2 linked regions of the Canis lupus familiaris genome follow. The protein of the gene in region 2 interacts with the protein of the main gene of each other region in a biochemical or structural test. Links are inferred from orthologs where the notes say so. Each region holds a gene or a part of one and is shown on either strand. Other genes may lie near its edges.

Region 1 (4,276 bases), on a different chromosome or scaffold from region 2:
ATGGCTGGATGAGAGGGGCAAAGTTGATGGAGTTCTCCTTTTCTCCTCAGCCTGGGGTCCTGAACCTCCAAGTCACTCTGCCGTTGTAGAGGTTTTTGAAGTTTCATTCACCTTCTGGAAAGGCTCCCTTGCCCCTCTTCTCCGCGAGCCCCCCTGTCACTACAGTCTCATCACTTGCCTCCTCCTTTGCTTCCAGCTTCTTGGAGAAACTGGACCTCAGTTTAGGGGTCTTTTCCCTGCGGATTTTAAAGAAGCGGCCGACAGAAGGCTACTGCTTAAACAACCGGGCAGGGGCGCGGGGTTGGGGTCTGCAAGAGCAACCCCGCCTTCTCCTTCCACCACGTGCTCCTCAGTTGGGGTGCAGCACTCCTGGATGGGGTGCAGAGAGGGGCGGGGCCAGGGTGGAGGGCGATGGACCGTGCAGACTGAGAGGGGAGGAGGCCCCCGAAGGAGAGATCGTCTCCACCGAACATGAACGAGAGAAAAAAAAAAAAACTGGCCCACATGCCCCTAGTGGGGAGCGATACACCCCACGCGGGCTGGGTTTGGGGGTGGGGGGTGCGTAGGGCCCGCTCACCTGACTTCCTCCTCCCCTGGCACACACACTGCAATCGCCCGCTTCTCCCCCCCCCCCCCAAAAAAAAGCTCAGCCAAACAACGAACAACAAGAGGAAGCCGCAGGCGGCAAGAGGAGGGGTGCGCGTGGTGGGGGCCCGGGAGAGGTGAGGGGGCAGGGTCGGCGGGCGTCGAGAACCGCGCCGCGCACCCCTCCGCGCACTCCCGGGCGCCCACACTTACCCCCAGCGGCTGAGGGTCCGGTCTTCGGCGCCAATCCCGGCGCGCGCCTCTCGCCCGCCCTCGTCCCTCCGGCCCGCCGCCCCCCACACCCCGGCCGGCGCGCGGGGAGGGAGCCTGGGAGCCGAGCGCGGCGTTGGCGGCGGCGGCGGCGGCGGCGGCGGCGGCGGCGGCTCGGGCTCGGGCTCGGCTCGGCTCGGGCTCCAGCGCTCCGTGCAGCCGGCGGCCGCCGAGGCTCCTCCGCCGCCAGGGGGAGAAGCCGGGGCGGGCGCTGGGGAGGCGGGCCGGGCCCTCGCCGCCCCGCCGGCCAGCCCGCTCGCACCAGCTCGGGAGCGGCGGCGGCGCGGGGTCCGCCGAGCCCCGGGGCGCGGCGCGCGGGGCCGGAGCAGCCGCGGCTGGATGCGCGCCCCGGGGGGCTGCGGGCTCCCGCGGGGGGCGCCCCGGCCGCTCCGGTGCGCCTCCAGACTGCGGGCGCGGCGGCCGCCGAGCCGAGAGCAGCTCCCGCCGGCCCCTTCCCCCCCCCCCCCCCCCCCCCCCCCCCCCCCCCCCCCCCCCCGTTAACATCCCCTCCCTCCCCCTTCCTTCCCTCGGCCCCGCGCGCTCGCCAGCTCGCTCCTCGTCTCGCTCTCCCCTTTAAACGCCCACTTCGGATGGGGAAAGAAGACAACTTGAAGTCAAGTTGCAATTAACTTCCGCGGCAGCCGCAGCTCCGGCGGCGGCGGCACAGGAGGCAGAAGCCGCCGCCTCGGAAGTCCGACGCCGGCGCGCCCGCCCGGGGAGCTGCTCCGGGTCGCGGGCCCGCACTCGACAGCCACCGCCGCCCCCAGCGCCCATGCCTGAGTGAGTGCTGCTCCTTTGCCTCCCTTTCCACCCCCCCCCCCCCCGCGCCCCGTATTCTTGCTCTCGAATCTCTGTCTCTCTGTTTTCGGAATCGATCCAAACTTCTCGGTGGCGCCCACCCCCGGCGCCCCTTGCCGGGCTGCGCGGTGCCCTCCCGCCGACGTCTGGCGGCCGGGGTCCCCCGAGCCCCTTCCCTTCTCGCGTGCGCGGCCGGACCCCGGAGGGGCGGGCGGGGAGAGCGTGGGAGAGCACCCGGGACGGGGGGCTCGGAGATGCCATTCATTCCCTCTCAGGGTGTGGGCACCCTGACACACCTGCCCGACAGACCCAGGCTGGACAAACTCCCTCAGGTCCTCCGTATGACCGCTCTTCGGAGAGAAAAGGGGGAGCCGCAAAGAGCGAAGGAGGCCGACGGGAAAAGGGAGAGGAAGCCTCTCCGTGCGCCCCGGAGCTGGGTTGGCAGAGAGGTGCCCGGCAGAGTAGGCTGGGGGAGCGGGGACGGTCCCCGCCGATCGCAAGTGAGCTCAGCATCCTTCCCCGGTCCTTCTCCTTCCTCCTCCGCCCCCCGCCCGCGCGGCTGCCTGGGAGCGGCGGCCGAGAGGGGCCTAGGAAGTTGGTGGCAACTTCTCCATCCCGGGGACGCTCGGCGCCGGGCGCTCAAGTTGGAGCCGGGATTTTGAAAGCCGCGGCACTCCGCCTTGGAGTCCCCGCCGGAGGTAGTGAGGTGGGCCCGCAGGGGCTCCCGGAGCGACTGCAGGTTTGAAGGAGGGCTGGAAGGCAGGAAGAGGCGCTGCCCTCTGAGCGGGGCTGACACATCGCAGGTGCGGCCTCAGGGTCCGCACCGTGTCTCCCTCCTGCGGTCCCGACCCGAGCGTGGCGGCCTTCTCCGGGCGCTTCCCTGCGGAGGCTCCCGGGGCGGCGGCGCGTGGGTTTGGGCAACCACCGTAAGGGGGACGAAGCAGGCAGGTGGCAGGTGGCAGGTGCGGGGAGCCACACGCGCCCACCGGGGACATGCACCGGGCGTGACTCTTGGGATGACCCCCCAGAAGGAGGAGAGGATCTCAGGGCTTTTGCTGGAGATCTTGGCCCCGACCTCCTCTGGGGCGTTGCAAGTCTCACGTACTAGTGTCAACCACAGGATCGCCTCGTAAAAGTGCCCTGGTTGGCAGCTTTGACCTCTGCGCCCTTCCTCGGCGAACTTTCTCCGCGGCATTCCAGATTTCCAGGCAATTGTTGTAAGACTTGGACTCTACGTGGTTGTATCAGAGACAGGGAAAATTAAAAAAAAAAAAAAAAAAAAAGACGTCCTATTCTCAGGAGAGAACCGTTCTACCCGGACTGGCTGGGGTTCCCTGCTTGCATCCTTGGAGGCCAGGAGACCTGACTTTTCCAAGAGGAACAGAGGAGGGGTAAGAAACAAGTGAAAGGCGACTGGTAGGTGTCAGGTTTTGTCCTCAGCAGTCCCTAAAATCGACTTACTAAGGGAGTAACGCGTGCGATTGAAACTTTATTGAAATTTACACCCTATCTAAAGTGGATTTTTCTGAGGTGTCAGGAATGTAAGATTTATTCTATAGTAAAACGTAGCTGCAAAAGCAAACAACAACAACAACAACAACCGTACTTTAAGGCTGGAAAAAGCCAAGGTTTGAGGTGTTTGCTCTAAAAACCTTTAATCGGCTGTGGGGTACTAATGCTATGATTTAGCAGCAGTCCTTTATTTCTATTGCATATTATTTTAGTGGAACAGTAGTACATTCATATACTGGCTGCTCCAGTCTGCTGGCAAACATTAGCATTCAAGCTTACATTTTTGACAAATGTGCAGACAGGAATAGCATGAATAGGCATCTTAAATATTAACAACCTAAGCATCTGTTGTGAAACAAATTTAATATATTTACTCTGTTTTTCTCACATTGTTAGAAAAGGTTATAATAAGTGCATAATTTCAACTTTAGTTAGCAGAAGTAACTGGCTGTATCTTTCACTACCTCTCCAAGTGTTTAACACAGTCACCAGACATAAGTACTTTAATTAACTTGGTTAGGCACATTGTTAAATACACTTTAGACCTAGTGTATACTATGTAAAACGTAACAGTAGCAAAATACGTATCCTATTTGTGCACATTTTAAGTGACTCTGCATTTTATAAATGTAACAGGCATGTTTATTTTTCATCTCCATTTGACACTTATTACTTCATAGTTTTTCTAATGGAAACAATATTTTAAATGTAGAGCTGTTCAGTCATATGTAATACATAATATGTAAACAGTAGCCATAAAATACAAAGCATTGTTAAATTTAAGTATGGCTACATGTAACAAGATTATACAAGAGAAACAATCACTGTTCAATTTTGTATTCCTTTCTGAATAATGAGTACAAATGATGGGTGAAATAAGAACAGATAAGGATTTCCCTCCTAAAGTACTAACTAGTGCCTTAAAAATCTGTGTGGGGGTGGGGGTGGGGAGAGCAAGAGGGAGAGAAAGGGAAAAAAAGGGATAGAGAAAGAAGACCTAAAGAACTTTCAAAAGTCTGAATAGTTATTTCCAGAATCAATGCATTCCTCATTTTCCCACAAGCTGAAATATGTAATAAATAATAGTTCTTTGTATGTAAAAGTATTCACA
Region 2 (4,131 bases):
ACAGCAGCGAGACCCGCACGTACCATTTAAATAAAGGCGCCAAGCGAGGAGGTTTGACAGTTACTCCCCCCTGGACCTCCCCGCCCCCCATCCTCGCCGGGCTAGCGCCTCCGGGGAAAGCCGGAGCGGGGGGGCGGGGGGGGTGCGGGCCAGAGCCCCGCCTCTCCGTGGCCTGCAGAACCCTTCTTGCAAAGCTTGGATGCCTGCAGTCCCAGAAACCATAACGGCCCCCTCGCCTCCCCCCTCCTCCGCCTCCCCCCTCCCCCCCGGCGCAGCCAGCGAGTCCTTTTCAGCACCTGCTACCTGTGAGGCCACGCGTGCGCTAAAAATAATCCGTTACGTTTGCAGATCGCTGGATGAAGCATTTCCAGATTTCTTAGCTCAGATGTTCCTCATGACGGCGCGGTGAGGTGGGCAGAGGAGACGTTACAATCCCCGTGGCATCCTACGTAGTCAGAAATGAGAGCTCAGGGAAGGGGAAAAGTGAGTGGCCCAAACACTTTGACAGCGGTGACCCGGAGACAAAATTTCATAGACGTTCGTTCATTTAACTCTGTTTCAACGAGTGATGATTCACTGATTATGTACCAGTCCTGTTTCTTTGTGAATACATCGGGGAAATTTAAAAAAAAAAAAAAAAAAGAGTCCCCGCCCTCCTGTATGTAGCTCTCTACTGGAGGAACAGACAAGTGCACCGATAAAAGATACAATTACAAATGGTGAGGAGTACCGGAAAAGAGCTAAAAAGGTCCAGGGAGAAAAAAGCGGTTGGAAGGAGATGTGCTTGATACCGGGAGGGCTTTCTCCAATATTTTGACGTTTGAGCAGATGTGATGAATTATTTCACACCTTTTCCTCGCTACTGAAAGCTTCCCAACCTCCACTCTTTGCTCTCAATTTTTGCTTCATTCCTCATGGAAAAAAATTAAAAGATATAACAGCCATGAACTCCCTTATCTTCTCACCATCAAAACTATTATTACAGACATAGTAACATTTGGGTTACTATGAATGAAGTGTCCTTGCGCCTATGAATGCCAGTCCCTCTACCAGTGACCTGGATTCCTTTCCCTCCCACATTCCTAAAAACTTTACTCCTACAATCACCTCGCCCTCCAGCATCATAACTTTTTCCCCTATTAGATTACTTCTATCAGGATACAAACATACTGAAATTCCTCCCATCTAAAACAAACCTCCCTTGACTCCAAAATCTCCTCCAGAACTGCCCTATTTCTCCCTCTTCAGTGCATAAATTCTCAGGTTTTTCAAGATCTCCCAACAGTGATTGTTCTCCTTTCCTCATTCCCTTCTCCTACCACATTCCCTTCTCAGCCCACTCCGATCCAGCCTTGACTTCTCTCATCGAGATCACTTATCAAGATTATTAATAATCTCTGTTTCCAAAACCACCTGTCAATTCTGTATTATCTAAAATGACCTCACAGCAGAACTGCAATAACTAAATAAATCTTAAAAAAAAAAAAAAAAATGGATGGGAGCTGGTCACTGGAAAGACTAAACATTGGGCACCTGGGTGGCTCAGTCGGTTAAGCATCTGCCTTCAGCTCAGGTTATGATCTGAGAGTCTTAGAATCAAATCTCACATGAGGCTCCCTGCTCAGTGGGGAGTCTGCTTCTCCCTCTCCTTCTACCCCTCCCCCCTGCTCATGTTCTCTCTCAAATAAATAAAATCAAAAAAAAAAAAAAAAGAAAGAAAGAAAGACTAAAGTGATTAGAGGGAGGTTAGTAGATACATGGAAGTACTAGGAAATGGGCGCCAAGAGAGAGCAGAGAAGCTCTGCATTCCCGCCCTTCATGCATTACCCTATGAATCTCTTTCACTTAGCTGTTCCTGAGTTATTTCCTATATATTAAACTGGTAGGGGGCACCTGGGTAGCTCAGATGATTAAGCATCTGCCTTTGGCTCAGGTCATGATCTCAAGGTCCTGGGATCGAGTCCTGTATTGGGCTCCCTGCTCAGTGGGGAACCTTCTTCTCCTTCTCCATCTGTCTCTCCCCCTGCTCATGTTCTCTCTCTGTCTGAAATGAATAAATAAAATATTTTAAAATAATAATGATAATAATAATAATAAAGTGGTAAATGTAAGTAAAATGTTTTCCTGAGTTTTGTGAGTCCATTCTAATAGATAATCAAAACTGAGCAGAAATTATAGGAATTCTCAAATTTGGTAGGTCAGAAGTTCAAGTGGCCCATGAGACTGGCAACTGGTATCTGAAGTAGGAGCAGTCTTGTGGAACTGAGCCCTTAACCTGTGGGATCTCAACTTATCCCTGGAGTTGATGTCAAAACTGAATTATTGGATATTTAGTTGGTGTTAGAAGAATTGGTATGGAAAGATTTAGTGTCAGAACCTCAGAGTTTCTTTAATATATATATTTTTAAAACTACATTTTACATTTGTATTGGTAAAGACTAATGCAATCCAAGCAGAGTATGCTTATTTTTTTCTTCTGATTTTAAGGATTTAAAACATTTTTGTGGGCCCTAAAATGATTGTCCCACCAACATGTAAAAATTAACTTCGAATTAATCATAGACCTAAATATGAGTTAAAACTTTAAAACTCTTTGGGGTAAGTCTCTATAACCTTGAGTGAGAAGTAGCTTTCTTAGATAGGGATCACACACAAGTTTGTGGTAGGAATGGTATAGCCATTTTGGAAAAGAGTTTGGCCGTTCTTTGAAAACTGAAAAGGTACTCACCATACAACCCAACAACTCTTGGACATTTATCCCGGAGAAACAAAAACTTCTTTCCATGAAGGGAATTGTACAAGAATGTTCATAGCAGGGATCCTTGGGTGGTGCAGCGGTTTGGCGCCTGTCTTTGGCCCAGGGCGCGATCCTGGAGACCCGGGATCGAATCCCACGTCGGGCTCCCAGTGCATGGAGCCTGCTTCTCCCTCTGCCTATGTCTCTGCCTCTCTCGCTCTCTCTCTCTGTGACTATCATAAATAAATAAAAATTAAAAAAAAAAGAATGTTCATAGCAGCTTTATAAGAATCCCAAACCAGAAACTATCCAAATCTCCTTTAATGGGTAAATGGCTAAACAAACTGCAATACAGGTATCTTATGGAATACTACTTAGCAATTTAAAAACAAAAACAAAAACACACAACAACTTGGATAAACTTCATGGAAATTATACTGATTGAAAAAATAATAATCCCAAAAGGATGTCTATTATGTAACATTAATGAAATAACATAAATACAGAGATAGAGAATAGACTAGTGGTTGTCAAGGAATTAGGGATGGGGGGAAAGGGTGGTTCCTACCAATGTCAATTTCATGGTTTTGATATTACACTTTAGTTCCACAAAATATTAACTTCCAGGGAGACTGGGGAAAGGATGCATGTGACTTCCCTATACATTTCTTTGCAATCTCCTGTGAATCTATAATTACTTCAATACAAAAGTACACATTTTTTCATATATATATGTATATATGAATATGAATATCTAAAAAGTATACATGTATATAAATATTGAAGATACAATGTATCAAAATTGTGAGGAGAGGGATATCATCAAAATGGCAGAACTGACAGCTCTAAACCCCCATACCTCCATGGAAACTTTAAAAAATAACCAGCAACTGTCAGACCAACTTTGTCAGAATTCTGGAAAACAGTCAACCAAGTAAATGTTCAATCCAAAAAATAAAGTAAAATAAAATAAGACAACTTAAAAATGGCAAGAAAACTTTATGATACTTTCATTTATCCCTGCCCTACTCTATCTATGACTTGGCCACCGCAGCCCACCTTCCTAGGATGGAGCTCTAGTCCCTGGAAATCATTGTTTTCATCTGTTCTAATCTTCCTGGAAGCCAGCTGAAGGACTAACGCAAGGCTTATCTCTCTTTTGCTTAACCAGCAGAAAAGCGGCAGACATTGCCTGAAAATACTGTAAGGTAAATAAACAACCTGCAACTGCCTGGGGACGAAGGTTACCATTGGTACCTAAATAGACCACCTAAAGCCTGGGAGTAAAAGCTAAGGAGAGAAGTATACTGGGAATTTAGGTCATTCAAAATGAAAAGTGCTCATGAACACAGGGGCATTTAGAAGGCCATGTAACATGCCTGAGACAAGATGCA

Evidence for each region.
Region 1: the proteins of PIAS1 (region 2) and SATB1 form a complex in vitro, tested with the Homo sapiens proteins (2 studies listed by BioGRID, with this or other methods). The link is inferred for Canis lupus familiaris from reciprocal best matches to the Homo sapiens genes PIAS1 and SATB1.

Annotation. Positions count from the first base shown.
Region 1 is NC_049244.1:25,106,344-25,110,619, forward strand, and holds the start of SATB1 (DNA-binding protein SATB1), read left to right. Parts: upstream 1-1,476; 5' UTR 1,477-1,635; intron 1,636-1,916; exon of another isoform or gene 1,917-3,044; intron 3,045-4,276. UniProt on the Homo sapiens protein: Crucial silencing factor contributing to the initiation of X inactivation mediated by Xist RNA that occurs during embryogenesis and in lymphoma.
Region 2 is NC_049251.1:32,546,814-32,550,944, reverse strand, and holds the start of PIAS1 (E3 SUMO-protein ligase PIAS1), read right to left. Parts: upstream 2,801-4,131; 5' UTR 2,786-2,800; coding exon 2,729-2,785; intron 1,493-2,728; exon of another isoform or gene 349-1,492; intron 1-348. UniProt on the Homo sapiens protein: Functions as an E3-type small ubiquitin-like modifier (SUMO) ligase, stabilizing the interaction between UBE2I and the substrate, and as a SUMO-tethering factor. Catalyzes sumoylation of various proteins, such as CEBPB, MRE11, MTA1, PTK2 and PML.